Saccharomyces cerevisiae S288C: one gene and its partners. The gene in region 1 interacts genetically with each later gene. Each region holds a gene or a part of one and is shown on either strand. Other genes may lie near its edges.

What was found.
Region 2: mutations in IDP3 (region 1) and HXT16 together harm fitness more than expected from each alone (negative genetic interaction), as found in Saccharomyces cerevisiae (one large-scale study listed by BioGRID).
Region 3: mutations in IDP3 (region 1) and YML003W together harm fitness more than expected from each alone (negative genetic interaction), as found in Saccharomyces cerevisiae (one large-scale study listed by BioGRID).
Region 4: mutations in IDP3 (region 1) and CRC1 together harm fitness less than expected from each alone (positive genetic interaction), as found in Saccharomyces cerevisiae (one large-scale study listed by BioGRID).

The regions. Positions count from the first base shown.
Region 1 is NC_001146.8:611,796-616,583, forward strand, and holds IDP3 (isocitrate dehydrogenase (NADP(+)) IDP3), read left to right. Parts: upstream 1-3,025; coding exon 3,026-4,288; downstream 4,289-4,788. Other genes in the region: YNL011C (uncharacterized protein), read right to left, coding at 41-1,375; PYP1 (putative phosphoric monoester hydrolase), read left to right, coding at 1,840-2,565; putative ubiquitin-protein ligase ASI3, read right to left, coding at 4,416-4,788. UniProt on the Saccharomyces cerevisiae protein: May function in the production of NADPH for fatty acid and sterol synthesis.
Region 2 is NC_001142.9:730,292-735,328, reverse strand, and holds HXT16 (hexose transporter HXT16), read right to left. Parts: upstream 2,890-5,037; coding exon 1,186-2,889; downstream 1-1,185. UniProt on the Saccharomyces cerevisiae protein: Probable glucose transporter.
Region 3 is NC_001145.3:261,743-265,216, reverse strand, and holds YML003W (uncharacterized protein), read right to left. Parts: upstream 1,735-3,474; coding exon 862-1,734; downstream 1-861. Other genes in the region: VRL1 (Vrl1p), read right to left, coding at 1-676; lactoylglutathione lyase GLO1, read left to right, coding at 2,532-3,474.
Region 4 is NC_001147.6:512,750-516,045, reverse strand, and holds CRC1 (carnitine:acyl carnitine antiporter), read left to right. Parts: upstream 1-1,767; coding exon 1,768-2,751; downstream 2,752-3,296. Other genes in the region: Ras family GTPase RAS1, read right to left, coding at 1-802; alpha-1,2-mannosyltransferase KTR1, read right to left, coding at 3,040-3,296. UniProt on the Saccharomyces cerevisiae protein: Transports carnitine, acetylcarnitine, propionylcarnitine and to a much lower extent medium- and long-chain acylcarnitines.

The DNA of each region.
Region 1 (4,788 bases):
GTCTTCACTATAATAACCGTTAATGAGCGACATAGTTGCATCAGTTTTTAAGGCCAATTTGATTCAGAACCTTTTCAAGTTCTTCACTTTCCATCTTATCCGAAGACGCGATCTGGTGGCATCTAATACTATGCTTCTCGAATATCGTTTCATCAATTTCAATTTCACCATTTTTTAGGTAAACAATATCAGTAATAAAATCTTGCCATTCAAAGTCATCATTCTCTGAATGGACACCCTTAGATTGCCTATAGCCTGCTATTGCCCTACTCATAGAATCTATGATCATTTGAACGTAGTGTAAACCGTCTAAACCAAAAACCTCTCTATCATATTTATTATTTATGAGCAAAACTTTTTTCGTATTATTAGATTCCAAAATTACTTCAGCAAGATTACCAAGAATAAGGATTGGGAGTAAACTTGTCATTAAAGAACCGATAGAATAAACGACCATGTCAGCTTTTTTCACCTTGGAAATAGCTCTTGGATTTCCCATTGGTTTTATCTCTTCGCCATATGGGTTTATATACAATATCCTATGTACCGGAGCAGGTAGATTCTGTGATTCATCAAGCTTGTCAAAATGCAACTGGGAGTTTTTCAGTTCTGGAAGAATATAGATAGGATTGGCATACTCCTCTTCCGCTTCTTCTTCCTCATCGTCGAGGAGAATTTTCAAATGGTCGTCATAAGAGCCAAGTAAATGAATAAATTTAGCTGAATGTGCTATGCTATTATCTTTAGGAACAGATTTCGAGGGATGCGATATTTGTGATTGGCCAGTTATCATCTCACCATTCGTCAACAAAGCCGAGATATGATGTGTGTGATTGGTATTTATACATGGAATAACATGAACTAGAGGACTGCACCTTCCTATCCTCATCATTAGTTCAATAGATGCGTCTAGAGAACCTAAAAACAATCTAGCACCAGTTAAGAAAAAATTTCCAATGGATGCACTCTCAAACTGAAATGGATTCGAGTGTTTGATTTTTTTCAAGAGTTCTGCTTGCATATGGATAATAAAAGAACGACACATTTCCTTAACTTCTATCGAAATATTTTTCCATATGGGATGCGAACCTTCCACTATTTCATTCCATTCTTTCTTAGCTAATAACTTATCATTAGGTAGCCTATGGCCAAACAACTCGACAAGCTGTTCATCTTGAAGTAGTCTCACTATTCTAGATCTGATATCACCAATTGCTGGGCCACCAACTATTCGTAGAATTTCACTTGTGGACCCGCCATTATCTGATATTGGCAATATATACGTCAGCTCATGTCCTTTTAAGATAGAAATATTAGAAAAGCAAGGAGTCAATGAATTTGTGGCAGTCCCACCGGAGCACACAACGACGTTCATCTAGTAAACTATCTCACCACACTCTGCTATTTTGTCCCCTTATTACCTCGAGGGAACAAAAGATTCCGTTTCCTCTCTTTCATAGTCCGCCTAAATAGCTTAAGAAATAAACCCAAACATCACACATTAGCGTTCTTTAGGAAATACGAAACAGGTTAATACAACAGTAGTAACTTTCCACATAATATCTAAGCATTACACGCTGAAAAAAACTCTTTATTGGATATCAACAACCCAACACATTGTACGACATATTCTTTTATCGTTCTACTATGGTACCCTGTTCAAATCTCTTTTTCTAAAATGAGCGAAATTTTCGAAAATTATCGCATAATTTTTCATCATCTTAAATTAAAAAAATACAGTGTCCTCTATTGTTTATCTCAACAGAACGCACACATTCTTGAAACTTGCTCACATAACATAAGCTGGAGTGACATAGCATTTATATATATACAAGGGAAATGGTCAAAGCTGTTATTTTTACCGATTTCGACGGTACCGTTACTTTGGAAGATTCTAACGATTATCTGACCGATACTTTAGGTTTCGGTAAGGAAAAAAGATTAAAGGTCTTCGAAGGCGTGTTAGATGATACTAAGTCTTTTAGGCAAGGTTTCATGGAAATGCTGGAATCCATCCACACCCCTTTCCCTGAGTGTATCAAGATCTTAGAAAAGAAAATTCGATTGGATCCTGGTTTCAAGGATACATTCGAATGGGCTCAAGAAAATGATGTCCCTGTCATCGTTGTTTCCAGCGGAATGAAACCAATTATCAAGGTTTTATTGACCAGATTAGTTGGACAAGAGTCTATTCACAAAATTGACATTGTTTCCAATGAAGTGGAAATCGATGCACATGATCAATGGAAAATCATCTATAAGGATGAAAGTCCCTTCGGACATGACAAATCCAGAAGTATCGATGCTTATAAAAAGAAATTTGAATCTACCTTGAAAGCAGGTGAACAAAGACCCGTTTACTTTTACTGTGGTGACGGTGTTTCTGATCTAAGTGCTGCAAAAGAATGTGATTTGCTATTTGCCAAAAGAGGTAAAGATTTGGTCACTTATTGTAAAAAACAAAACGTCCCATTCCATGAATTCGATACCTTCAAAGACATCTTGGCTAGCATGAAACAAGTTCTGGCTGGTGAAAAGACAGTCGCTGAATTGATGGAAAATTAGTGCAAGACTCTTACGAAATATTAAAGTTTAATACCGTGTAACTGCCTCTTACATATGTATGCATATATACGTACGTACTATATTTTTCTTGTATATCTTTTTTATTGTCTGAGAGAAAGAACATCAAAAAATAAAGGAAGATCCTCCTCGGATTTAGCATGCTTAATGCCGAATCTTTAATACAAAACGAATGATATTTCAAGTATACTAATTAGAAATCAATCAAACATACCAAAAGGGACAGTAAAGAGAAAAGCAGGAGCTCTCTTTTAGGGGAAAAGTAAAATGTGATTAGTATTTCGTTGCGTGTACTAGTCAACTCTTCTTGTCATTCTTAAATTTACATTAATTACCCCAATTTTGCATCTTCGTATATAAGAGTGTTCCCCTTATAAGCTTTCTCCTGCACATACCTGCAGTAAACACAAGCAACACTTTAGAGATAGTTGTCCAAGTTAAAATGAGTAAAATTAAAGTTGTTCATCCCATCGTGGAAATGGACGGTGATGAGCAGACAAGAGTTATTTGGAAACTTATCAAAGAAAAATTGATATTGCCATATTTAGATGTGGATTTAAAATACTATGACCTTTCAATCCAAGAGCGTGATAGGACTAATGATCAAGTAACAAAGGATTCTTCTTATGCTACCCTAAAATATGGGGTTGCTGTCAAATGTGCCACTATAACACCCGATGAGGCAAGAATGAAAGAATTTAACCTTAAAGAAATGTGGAAATCTCCAAATGGAACAATCAGAAACATCCTAGGTGGAACTGTATTTAGAGAACCCATCATTATTCCAAAAATACCTCGTCTAGTCCCTCACTGGGAGAAACCTATAATTATAGGCCGTCATGCTTTTGGTGACCAATATAGGGCTACTGACATCAAGATTAAAAAAGCAGGCAAACTAAGGTTACAGTTTAGCTCAGATGACGGTAAAGAAAACATCGATTTAAAGGTTTATGAATTTCCTAAAAGTGGTGGGATCGCAATGGCAATGTTTAATACAAATGATTCCATTAAAGGGTTCGCAAAGGCATCCTTCGAATTAGCTCTCAAAAGAAAACTACCGTTATTCTTTACAACCAAAAACACTATTCTGAAAAATTATGATAATCAGTTCAAACAAATTTTCGATAATTTGTTCGATAAAGAATATAAGGAAAAGTTTCAGGCTTTAAAAATAACGTACGAGCATCGTTTGATTGATGATATGGTAGCACAGATGCTAAAATCAAAGGGCGGGTTTATAATCGCCATGAAGAATTATGATGGCGATGTCCAGTCTGACATTGTGGCACAAGGATTTGGGTCTCTTGGTTTAATGACGTCCATATTGATTACACCTGATGGTAAAACGTTTGAAAGCGAGGCTGCCCATGGTACGGTGACCAGACATTTTAGAAAACATCAAAGAGGCGAAGAAACATCAACAAATTCAATAGCCTCAATATTTGCCTGGACAAGGGCAATTATACAAAGAGGAAAATTAGACAATACAGATGATGTTATAAAATTTGGAAACTTACTAGAAAAGGCTACTTTGGACACAGTTCAAGTGGGCGGAAAAATGACCAAGGATTTAGCATTGATGCTTGGAAAGACTAATAGATCATCATATGTAACCACAGAAGAGTTTATTGATGAAGTTGCCAAGAGGCTTCAAAACATGATGCTCAGCTCCAATGAAGACAAGAAAGGTATGTGCAAACTATAAACCAATCCGCCATTCATTTGAAAAGACAAGTCTGGCCTAGGGTTATAGTGTTCAGACTTGAGGTTGAACATATCCAAAAAAAAAAATTCCTATGATGTCTTAAATACGTATACCTAATAAAATAATTCTAGACTATATTCAACTTACTGTAACCCTTCACCTCACTATCACAGCTGACGCATGTAGCAAATCCTTTATAACCCAGAGATATCCTACAATCATCGCATAATGCAAGGCATCTACAGGGCCAAGTTACAATATTTCTTTTATTAACTTTGCAGATTAGGCAGGAGAGATCCATTTCCTCCACTTCGTCGCAACTATCAAAGGCAAAATCAAACTTGAACTCTAATTTGTCATCGTCCTTCATATTTAAACGTTTGTACATATACCTGGAGTTTGTATGATGCAGAAGGCGTTCAATAACAACATCGACTAGTACACCTTGTGGGTTTCTTTTACCATATTGTGATCTAGTCAACGGTCCATTAACCTTATTA
Region 2 (5,037 bases), on another chromosome or scaffold:
ACACCACAATAATACGTCATTAGTCAAAGTTTTCACAAAAAATTGATAAACTAAGCTTTCGTACTAATTGTAGAGATGTTGATTCGACAGATGAACGGTTCTATAGTTTCAGTGGACGTAGCGCTTTGATATTAAAAAATTATGTACAATATCATGTTAATTAGTTGAAAAATCATAATGTCAATTATCGCAAAATGAAAAGAAGAATTGGTACTCATCCAGAGTTTCAATTTAGCAAATAAAGTAATAGACAATTCATCAAGCTTTGAACTTTGTCGTAAGACCTTTCAAAAAGGAAATAAGTAAAAAGATAAAGAAACTCAATAGACTTGGAAAAAGGATAGAAATGGACATATGCCGACTTAAATGCTAAAACCCTCGACTGTTTTGAACCCATTGTTTCAATACCGTGTCTTTAACGGTTACTACCACAGTTAGGTCACAAATCTTTTAGTGGCAGATGCTCCTTGAACTACTAATGACCCAGGTCACCCAGAGAGGTCAGAGACTTTGTACGGGTACCTATATGAGGTCTTTTTACTGTACTACAAAAAAAATCTTACTCCATTCGCTATTATGTTGTGTGGAAACATGCCTCAAAATGTTTTCACCGCAAAAAGTATGCTTGTTGTATTTGCCAAGTTAACGAAGCATGAGAAAGTTTGCCCCCCCGAGTTGAAACAAAGTTATCTCTTCTAATATGATGGTTGTTTGTGCGGCCACGCTAATAACGAGCTCAAATATTCCCTTTATAGTAACAACTGAATATTTGGGAAGAATCTATATTTCTATATTATTGTATACACTTTATTTAGAGGAATGGTACAGTGTTACGTTCCTGGAAATGCATTTTTAAGGATCTTCCATAAGCACTCAAGTGGACCTATGTTGACTTCCCCATCTTCATCACCACTCCGTTTTCACTCCATAAGCATCCTACTTTTTATACTCTGCTTTGCCTTAAAGAAACAGAACTTCGTACAATGTTGCCTTAACCAAACGCTTTCTTTCACTAAATAACTCGTTATTTTATATAGTACTAGTAGTCCGAAAAAGGGAGTTTGCAAAGAAACTCGTAGTTTTTTGTTGATTAAATTTGAAATTACGTGTCACTTCGTTTTACAGTAGGCCCTATTTTTTTTCAAGAATTTATCTCTTAGCATGTTTATCAAGCGCGCATATTGATCAATTAAAACTCTTTGGGAACTTCAAAACTTCTTTCCAGCTTTTCTTCTTAGCCTCAGTTTCCCTGGAAGAAGCTCCTCTCCTTGAGGGTGGTACCCAAGATGCAGATTTCCATGGTTTTATACCTTCTTCATATAGTAACTGGGTTTCCTCCAAAGATAGACCAATTGTTTCTGGTAAAAAGAAGAAAACGTACAAAAACATAGCAACCAAACAACCTACGAACACATAACCATAATAGAAGTGGATAGACCCAGTAATGAATGGTGTGAAAAAACCAATCAAGAATTGCCATAACCAGTTGAATGCAGTCGAAATTGACATTGCTTTAGATTTGACCTTCGAAGGGAATGACTCGGCAACCACAATATAAGCAACAGGGGCCCATGTCGTTGCAAAGCAGAATATATAGAAGCATGTGAACACAATCATGGCATTACCTGCACCTTTCGAGGATGGACCATCCTGGCCATGAGGGTAAAGACATTTTACCCCGATACTTGCAAATATGACCATACAAGCCATCATTGAAGCCGCTCCGAATAACAGACATTTACGACGGCCTATTTTGTCTACGACCATAACAGCAATAATAGTGGAGAAGAAATTCACTGTACCTAGGACGATCGAAGTCTCAAACCCATCAGTAAGCCCAACTGATTTGAAAATGGTAGTTCCGTAGAAGAAGAAGTAGTTTTCACCAGTAAGTTGCAAAAAGGTTTGCACAAGAATACCTGTGATCAAACGTTGAAGGACTTTTGTTTTGACGGAGAAAAGTTCTTTCCATGAGGCTTCCCCTAGTTCTCTTTGGGCAAGGACACCGGCGTTGATTTCATCAGCCTGTTTGAGTACCCATGGATCCTCTGGTGAAACCTTGTCGATCTTGGCGATGGAGACACAGGCCTCTTCATGTCTCTCACATTCAATCAGATATCTTGGGGACTCTGGAACTAATAACATGCCAACGATGATAATTAGAGCCCACAGAAAGCATAGTCCCACAGGAATCCTCCATTGCGCAGTATTACTATACTTCCTTGTTCCATAAACGCTACAATAACCCAAGAAAATACCGAAGGTCATGTTAAGTTGGTACAATGAGACAAGTCCACCTCTCAAATCTGTGGGGGCTATTTCAGATAAAAGCATTGGACACAACACCGAACAGCCACCAGCACCAAGACCGTAGATGATCTTACCGACAAAGTATTGGTACCATTTGTGATTCGAACTGATCTGAATAATTGCACCAACCATATATACCAAAACCACGATTACAATTGCTAGCCTTCTACCTAAAGTATCAGCAAGTCTCGCAAAAGCAACACCGCCAATGGAACATCCTACACTGAACATGGCCACGAGAAGACCCATACGCACGTTGCTCAAATAATACTCACCAGTACTGTGCTTGTAAGAACCAAAATTCATTTTAAAGTTATCCATATTGATGAAGCCTGCAGTAATACCACTATCCCAACCAGGTAAAAAACCGCCAAAGGATACAGGATAGCATAGTAAGTAGATAATAAGGTAACCTAAAAAGCCTCTCTTCGGTGCGTCTGGCGTATTTCCATTAATGACTTCTTTGTCATAAAACCCGTCTGACCATTCTTTCTCTCCGGGTGGCTGTACATGAACGTCAGCTGCACTACTGTTTAGATTATCTGCATTAATTTCTGGTGAGGACTGTTCGCTTGCCATTTTTTTCCTTTAGTTTCCTTTCCTCCTTTTCTGTCAATAATATCAATAGTTTTACTTCTATGGATAGTAATAAGACTAAACCTGAAGCAAACAATGAATTACTTACTTTCTTTATACGTTTGAAAGTTGGTGATTACAGGCCAACACTGGAGTTATCATACTTGAGTTATATAACCATGTTTAACTTTTTTGCAGAGCATTCGGAAAATCAAACCTTTAGCTGATTGCACTTATGATATTGAAAGGTTCAAGATGCGCAGTACAAGTCCTCGTTTGTTTACATCATCTACCTTGCCTGACTTCTTTGCTAAATTGTGCCTCTGCGCAGTGCACGTTCAAAAGAAAAGCATACCCCGCACTCTACTGTTTTTGCATTTTAGCTTTTAAGTTTTAAGTTACTACCACTGTAGCGCACAAAGCTAAAAATAATTTTGCCTGCAGCAGGCTAGCTGCATATTCATAGGCACATCATGAATTTACTGTAATACGAGACGGAGTTAAGCAAAACGGAGTTAACACAGGCGGAGACATGAAACAAGTTCAACTTCAGTAATAGTAATTGTCACGCAATATCTTGTGGAAATTTGCGTACAAGATTTTTTAAGCGCCAAAGGAGCCAAATACGGAAATAATTACCTAGTCCTTACCAAAGAAATAAAGAAAAAGGAAAAGAAAAACTGCAAACGTATAAGATATTTGGTACATTTTAAGAAGGGGATATTCACTTTAATGATCATATCGCTGATTTAGTAACCCAGATCAAGGACAAAGTTACTATTGTCGTCTTTTAAGGTGGAATCTGTGGTTAGGATCTTTACGAGTACCTAGATGATGTCATCTTTATGCCTAAGAGGTCTAGTGTCATAATTTGTTCAACGTTGCTTTTACCTCTGGCAATACTCCACAATATTTCAGGATTTGCTGCCAAAGTCCATTTTGTGCAAGAGAATGTTTATTACTGTTTTGATCGATTATGTTATCGAGGATTCTGAAAAAATGGTTTATGTCATCCGTCTGAGAAATTATGACGGAAGAATGTAAGCTGCCGGTTACAGGTAAGCAAAATATTTGCAAAGGAATTTTGAGAATTTATGGCTCGACGGCGAGATTTGAACTGTAAACGGATATGGTGAAATGAAGTAAGGGCATAATATTATCCAGCAGCTGTTCTCCCATATAGTGCGCCAAAATTGTAAACATTTTTTATATATTACGCTTTCTCCATGTGCAGGTCAATTTTATTCTTCTTTTCGTTGAAGTGATGTTACCTCATACAATGATTCAACTATAGCACCGTTTCATGCTAAGTTATTTGCACATTCTCCTTACCACAATTCCGTACAATTTAAAAATTTGAATAAAGCAGTATTGCAACAAGGCGTTACAGTCTTTGTTACCCTAAGCATGTCTCAAGAATCTATTCATGTGTGTTCATGGCTCTTCTTAAGATAATATTTCATACCTGGGGTGGCCGTTTCATATTTCTGTTTCTCTAACTTTATACCAGGAGAATTCCTTGTCTAATTTGCTACAAGTACCTTTTCAATATAAATAATTTTCAGTTAATTAACAGAGTAGGAAGAGGAAGGAACAAAAACTATCGCGTATCTTCTTGCATAGGGGTAGTGGAGTAAAGATACAAGTATTCGAGAAATAGATATACATTTAAATAGCATTACTATCCCGGGAATCTTGTTGCCATAAGGTGCTTTTATGATATCAAACCAGGGGGGAGAATATTTGGGAAGTAATTGGGAAGTAATTGTATGTATTTCTAAAATTTTTGGATACTCAACTTTTAAATTCAAAATAGTTATATTTGTTATCGAAATGTAGTAGAAATATTCTAAGTAACCAATTTCAAAACTGCATCTATCTTTGGATAAACTGGTGTGATAAGATATACATTGAATGCTGATGTCCATCACACATATGTTTACACTGGCGTCGCTCTGTACCTATTTCAGAATAGATTAATGACAAAGTAAAAGTTCAATAGGCGGGCGGAAAAAATTAGAGATTCATTGAATCTCTAATTTATTTAAAGTTTATAAGTCGTTACATATTTTTCTATGGTAAGTTCCTGGATGTTCTGGTACATCGAGCGTATTTAATATGTCCATTTGGCATGTCCTTTATATGCCCATC
Region 3 (3,474 bases), on another chromosome or scaffold:
TTTTAAGTATATCCATTTCATGGGTTAGATAATGAGCCACGGTACGTGCATATTTATCTGTTTTATTGATATAAGAAACCAGCTCCTCTTCAGTACAATTGAACAGCATGATCTTTATGAGAACTTTCGCGGCTTCTAAATTTCCTGCTTTTATCGATTCTATAAGCAGCGTAGAACCATCAATCGTTTCGTCCTCTAAAAGGTCTTCTACTGGAAAGTCGTTTTCATATTCAGAAAGAATATCTAATAAGATGTAGTTTTTATGATTTGTTATACATATGGATAGAATGGATTGTCCTTGCTCATTTCTGTAGGTCAAAATATCCTTGTATGTTGCCAGATCTTCTACTTCATTTGTGGGGTTTTCACATGACAACTTATCTAATAAATTCTTAGTTTTTTCACATAATGTGTTAGCTTTCGCCACGTTGCCTGTATTTTTGTTGAAGTCTTCGAAATAACAAACCACTGCTTCCAGTGTGGATACAGCATACCCTAGAATGCCGAATTTTGTAGAAGAAGAGTTATTCGAAAAATTTTGCAAATAGTAAAGATGACTTTTAAGGTGCTTTTGTTCACTTCTGCAAACAACGAGCACAAAAAGGCTAATTAAAGTGTCTGCATCCATCGTCATGTTATTCAATCCGTCTGGTAGTTCTAGTTGATGTGAATCCATTTCGGTAGTACCTGATAATTTCTGTAGAGTTTCAACTAATATTTTAGATTTTTCAGCGTATGAATGGGTCAAAGCCAACTTTTGAAGATGTTTGGACGCTAGATGGAGACGCCTTTCAATAAGAGTGATGTCGTGTAATTTAAATTCCCCATAATCTTTTGAGTAAAAATCTGTCAACAACTGGTTCACTGAAAAATATTTATTTTTTCAGTGTCTACTTCGTGGCCTTTGAAATGTGTAGTAAGCCTAGACCATATATCATCGTAAAGATTTAGTTCAAAATAGTCGTGTATAAGATCGTAAAGATTAGAAAAGTTCTTGAAAAGTGAATCCGATTTCATTCCATCAAATGCTTGTTGCACGATGCTTTCAAAAATACTTCTAGATGGATCATCACCAGGAGCGAGCGTTCTGTAACTCGAAAACAATTGGCCAAGCTGTGTTAATCGAGCAGGATGAATGTGCAATATATTCTCGAATGACGATCTTTCTTGCTGAAAAGAATCTATCGACAGATTTGGCATAGCATGTGCATTTTTTGGTATTTTCTCATAATTGTGAAAACACTGTAAGTAGTCGTTAGGTACAAATTCGCAATTTAAAGGTTGATCTATGAATAGTATGATAAAATCAGCCGCCCCTTCAAAGTAGTCATTAAAATTGGGTAATATTTTTGTCTCTAGAATCTTTAGTCTTCGCCTTATATGAAATCCATTTAAGGCATGGATCACATTATTCTTCCATTGAATAACAACGGTCTTACCATCTAACGTTTCATAATGACTGTCCCTTGAATTCGTATTTATGTAAGAGTTTTCAGTCATTAACAATATGTAAGAGTTAATAAACTCTGCATTATAACAGAGGTCATGTAACGGCAGTTTGCTCTTGACATCGTGGTAATTCAAAAGGTATTCTGAAGGAGGTGCTAGGAGGATAAACCTACGGGTTTTTAAATTAGCGAAAAGCTTTTTCAATGGGGATCTTTCTGGTTCGGGACAGTTAAATATAGCATTAACCAGCGGGTTCAACAGCGTTGGTAAATGGTAAACTGACATTGTCAACCCTAGCTAAGCCATAGCTTTTCCGTTGAGGAATTTACAATAAGGTGGTTCCTTTAGTTATAAATTGCAACTGCCAAAATTTTCGGGTAGCGGCAAAATTAAACGAAAACCTTCTGTCATATTAAACATAGTTTAGTGACGCAATGCACACACACTCATATATATGTATATATTTATCTATATCATAGGTGTAAGGCAAAGTTATCACGTGAATATACTGTTTAGTATACAAGTACGTTGATTTAACGGCTGAGAGATTCTCAAACAAAGTAACGCTTAGTTTAGCTAAAGTAGAATCGAAGCGCAGTGAAGGCAAGACGAGTTATCCCTTTATCACAAAATATAAAAAATAGGTAAAGAGGGGGGTGGGGGTGGTTCGGACTTTGCATCTCGGTGCATTAGTACCACTCAGCTTCAGTTATAGGAATACTGACAATGTTCTTGAGCCAGGGAGAACTGAAATTTCCATACCCTTTAACCCTTTATTCTTGAGCATATGATCTTATTTTTCCACTCAGCACAAAATACACATCCCGCATATGATCTGGACACTGAATAAACAAGGGGCTTTACGATGGAGTAGTAGACCTGGATACGTAGTCACCACAGGGATCCTAAACTGCGTCATAGTAAGTTTCTTTGATACTAGAATGTCCCTCTCTCGTAGTAGTTGATATCCCGTATTTCTAGTTAGTGACGTTTATAAATAGGGAGAAAAAAAATCGGAATAACATTTCCATGCCTTTTTTTTGACACTTCAGACCAGATACGCCACCAGCTACAAACTAACAATGTCCACTGATAGTACACGCTATCCAATTCAGATTGAGAAAGCCTCGAATGATCCAACCCTTCTGCTTAATCACACATGTTTAAGAGTCAAGGATCCAGCAAGGACCGTTAAGTTCTACACCGAACACTTCGGTATGAAGCTATTAAGCAGAAAGGATTTTGAAGAAGCAAAATTTAGCTTGTACTTTTTAAGCTTTCCAAAAGACGACATACCCAAAAATAAGAATGGAGAGCCTGATGTTTTTAGCGCACACGGTGTCTTAGAACTAACTCACAATTGGGGTACTGAAAAAAACCCAGACTACAAGATCAACAACGGGAATGAGGAACCTCATCGTGGATTTGGGCACATCTGTTTTTCTGTATCCGATATCAATAAAACCTGCGAAGAGCTAGAATCTCAGGGTGTCAAATTCAAGAAGAGACTCTCTGAAGGAAGACAGAAGGACATTGCGTTTGCTTTAGGCCCTGATGGATACTGGATTGAGTTGATCACATATTCTAGAGAGGGTCAGGAATACCCAAAGGGCTCAGTAGGTAACAAGTTCAATCATACCATGATTCGTATTAAAAACCCAACCCGGTCTTTAGAATTCTACCAGAATGTGTTGGGCATGAAATTATTAAGAACTAGTGAGCACGAAAGTGCAAAATTTACGTTATACTTTCTTGGTTATGGCGTTCCAAAGACCGACAGCGTTTTTTCATGTGAAAGTGTGTTGGAGTTAACTCATAATTGGGGAACTGAGAATGATCCAAACTTCCACTATCATAACGGTAACTCAGAGCCCCAGGGTTATGGTCACATCTGCATAAGTTGTGATGACGCTGGCGCCCTTTGTAAAGAAATTGAAGTGAAATACGGCGATAAGATCCAATGGTCTCCTAAATTTAACCAAGGCAGAATGAAGAATATTGCCTTTTTGAAGGATCCTGATGGTT
Region 4 (3,296 bases), on another chromosome or scaffold:
TTCGATTTCCGTTGCCGTTACTGGAGTACTTGGTATTTCCTTCATTGTTATTGTTTTGATTAACGTAATTCTTTTCATCAGTTCGTTTAGTAGTTTCACCGTTATGGTTAACGGCTGACTTTGAACTGGAGCCAGTGCCAGCATTGGTCAAAGAATTATCGAGTACATAAGACCCGTTGTTCTTTTTTTCTCTATCCGCTGTTGCAGATGAGGTTAGCTCCGAATCTCTTATTTCATTCGTATTATCCAGTTGACGATTCATGCTATTGTATTTCCCACCGTCGTCCCTTACCAAACGAATAAGGCTATAAAAGGCCTCGTCTACGTTGATGGCTTGTTTCGCAGACGTTTCTAGAAAGGGTGCATTCAACTGCTTGGCCAGGCGTAACCCGTCTTCATAAGAGACTTGTCTTTCATTTTCAAGGTCCAATTTGTTACCTACCACGACTACAGGAATGTAGTCAGAATCTTTTACTCTTTGAATTTGCTGATAATAAGACAGTAACTCATCAAAGGAATTTCTAGAGGTGACGGAATAGACCAGTAGGAAACCTTCCCCAGTCCTCATGTACTGTTCTCTCATCGCAGAATACTCTTCTTGTCCAGCAGTATCTAGAATGTCCAAAATGGATACTTTGTCATCGATGACAACTTGTTTTCTGTAAGAATCTTCGATAGTAGGGTCATATTCGTCCACAAAGTATGATTGAATGAATTGAATTGTTAAAGCAGATTTACCAACGCCACCTCCACCGACAACTACTATCTTATACTCTCTTATAGTTGATTTATTTCCCTGCATGTCGTTCTAAAAAGGGAAAATTTTGTTTACCTGTTCAATCGTGAAATAGCCAAACCGAAGTCAATTGTGGCAGCAGTTAATTAAGCATTGCAAGAAAGAACAAGACAGATGATAATAGAGACACCGTACAAGAAAGAATCCAAATTAAGAGAACCATACAAAGACATAAAATATAAACCTTTCAATGTAAAACAAAAGGAGGAAAAAACCTGAAAAGCCGTGAAAAATTCATAATCTTGCGATGAGTTGAAAAAGTTTGTTGTCAAATGTCCATAGACTTACATGTAGTAAATATTTTTGGTTTCTTTTTTTTTCTTCGTGCTTTTTTTTTTTCCTACGGGTTTACATTGTGCCAATGTGAATTTCCCCGCCACTCCCTACCGAACGGGTAGCAGCGTAGAACATAGCGATCAAGGGTGTGCTAAGTGAAGAAGCAATTCAGTGCGGGTAATACATATTCCTAGCCTCGTTTGCCGTTACATTGCATTGATGGTACAATAAAGGGCATGCTTTATATCGAGATGTTTCAGTGTATATGAGGGGAAACAGAAAAGAGTCATTCCTGCCATTTTTTGGTCACTGCTTTTTCTGCTATGAGTAATGGTGAAGTTCCTTGTGGCTACACGCTTAATGTCATCGGGTTACTGCTCCTAATATCCGCATATAAGCTTTATGCAGGGATCAGTTGGGCGGCTATTTATCTACACCCAGTCATCCGGCGTGACTGGATCTCCACTTGCCGCAATAAGTCGGTGGACAAATGGAGATTTAAGAGTAAAGATGCATGATGGTATAATTCCTTTAGTCGAAATAGATATATTTCAAGCGCATATATAGGCAGACGCTTGTACTGTAGAAATAGCCGATATTCAATTGCGCTCTATGTGTGTTTTTATTCCAGGTTTTCCTTGGATTCTACGTATTGTACGACTTTCTTATCCTCCACAAACGTCATCGTGTCAGTAATGTCTTCAGACACTTCATTATCAGAATCTTCATTATTGAAAGAAGAGAGTGGGAGCTTGACCAAGTCTCGTCCACCTATAAAATCAAACCCTGTACGCGAAAATATCAAATCATTTGTGGCCGGTGGAGTTGGCGGGGTATGTGCGGTGTTTACGGGTCATCCCTTCGATTTGATTAAAGTGAGATGTCAAAATGGACAAGCGAATTCCACGGTACATGCCATTACAAATATTATAAAAGAAGCAAAAACTCAAGTAAAGGGCACATTATTTACCAATTCCGTAAAGGGGTTCTATAAAGGTGTTATCCCGCCCTTATTAGGTGTTACTCCCATATTCGCTGTTTCTTTCTGGGGTTACGATGTGGGTAAGAAACTGGTTACTTTTAATAACAAGCAAGGAGGCAGTAACGAGTTAACTATGGGACAAATGGCTGCAGCAGGATTTATCAGCGCTATTCCTACCACTTTAGTGACTGCGCCAACGGAAAGAGTAAAGGTTGTCCTGCAAACATCTTCTAAGGGCTCTTTCATTCAGGCGGCTAAAACCATTGTTAAAGAAGGTGGCATAGCTTCTTTATTTAAAGGTTCATTAGCCACTTTAGCAAGAGATGGGCCTGGCTCAGCTCTATATTTTGCATCTTATGAAATTTCAAAAAATTACTTGAATAGTAGGCAACCTCGTCAAGATGCGGGCAAAGATGAACCGGTCAATATCTTGAACGTGTGTCTTGCTGGTGGTATTGCTGGTATGTCGATGTGGCTAGCTGTTTTCCCCATAGACACTATAAAGACAAAATTGCAGGCTTCCTCCACGAGGCAGAATATGCTTTCCGCCACAAAGGAAATTTATCTACAAAGAGGTGGTATCAAGGGATTTTTCCCTGGTTTAGGTCCTGCTTTACTAAGATCTTTCCCAGCCAATGCGGCCACATTTTTAGGTGTGGAGATGACTCATTCACTGTTCAAGAAGTATGGCATATGATTAAATTTTTGTTAGGTGGACCTGCCTCCCATTTTTTTCTGGCATTCCTTTTGGGAACTTTTTGTTATTTTTTGGTTCTGCAATTTCGTTCAGTGTATGGTAGAAAATATCAGTTGGGTTATCCCGGTTTCCTTGGCGTTGTTGTCGAAGCGTTCATATTTGTAACGCAATGGAGTAAATATAAATGTGATATGTAAAAAAAAGAGTTATAATTTATTCTGTTTCTTTAAATAGTATAAATAAAAAAAGTGGAAAATACAAAGACAACGTGGGCTGATTACAGTATAATCAACCGATATGGTTTTGCCAACCAGCAGGCTTTGGCAACTTGTTTATATTGTAGAATTTAGTAGTACATGAATAACTGTGCCATGTGAAATCTTTGCTTGGATCACAGTCACATTTGTTAGCCAGTCTGATACTTGTGTCTATTGGACAGGAGTGAAATGGAACATGGTAATAACCAATATCACCGAAGTGATGGATTTCAGAGCGGTCCAAGAACAGCGCAGCACCAATAGAATGAACTGGAGCATCACCCCATC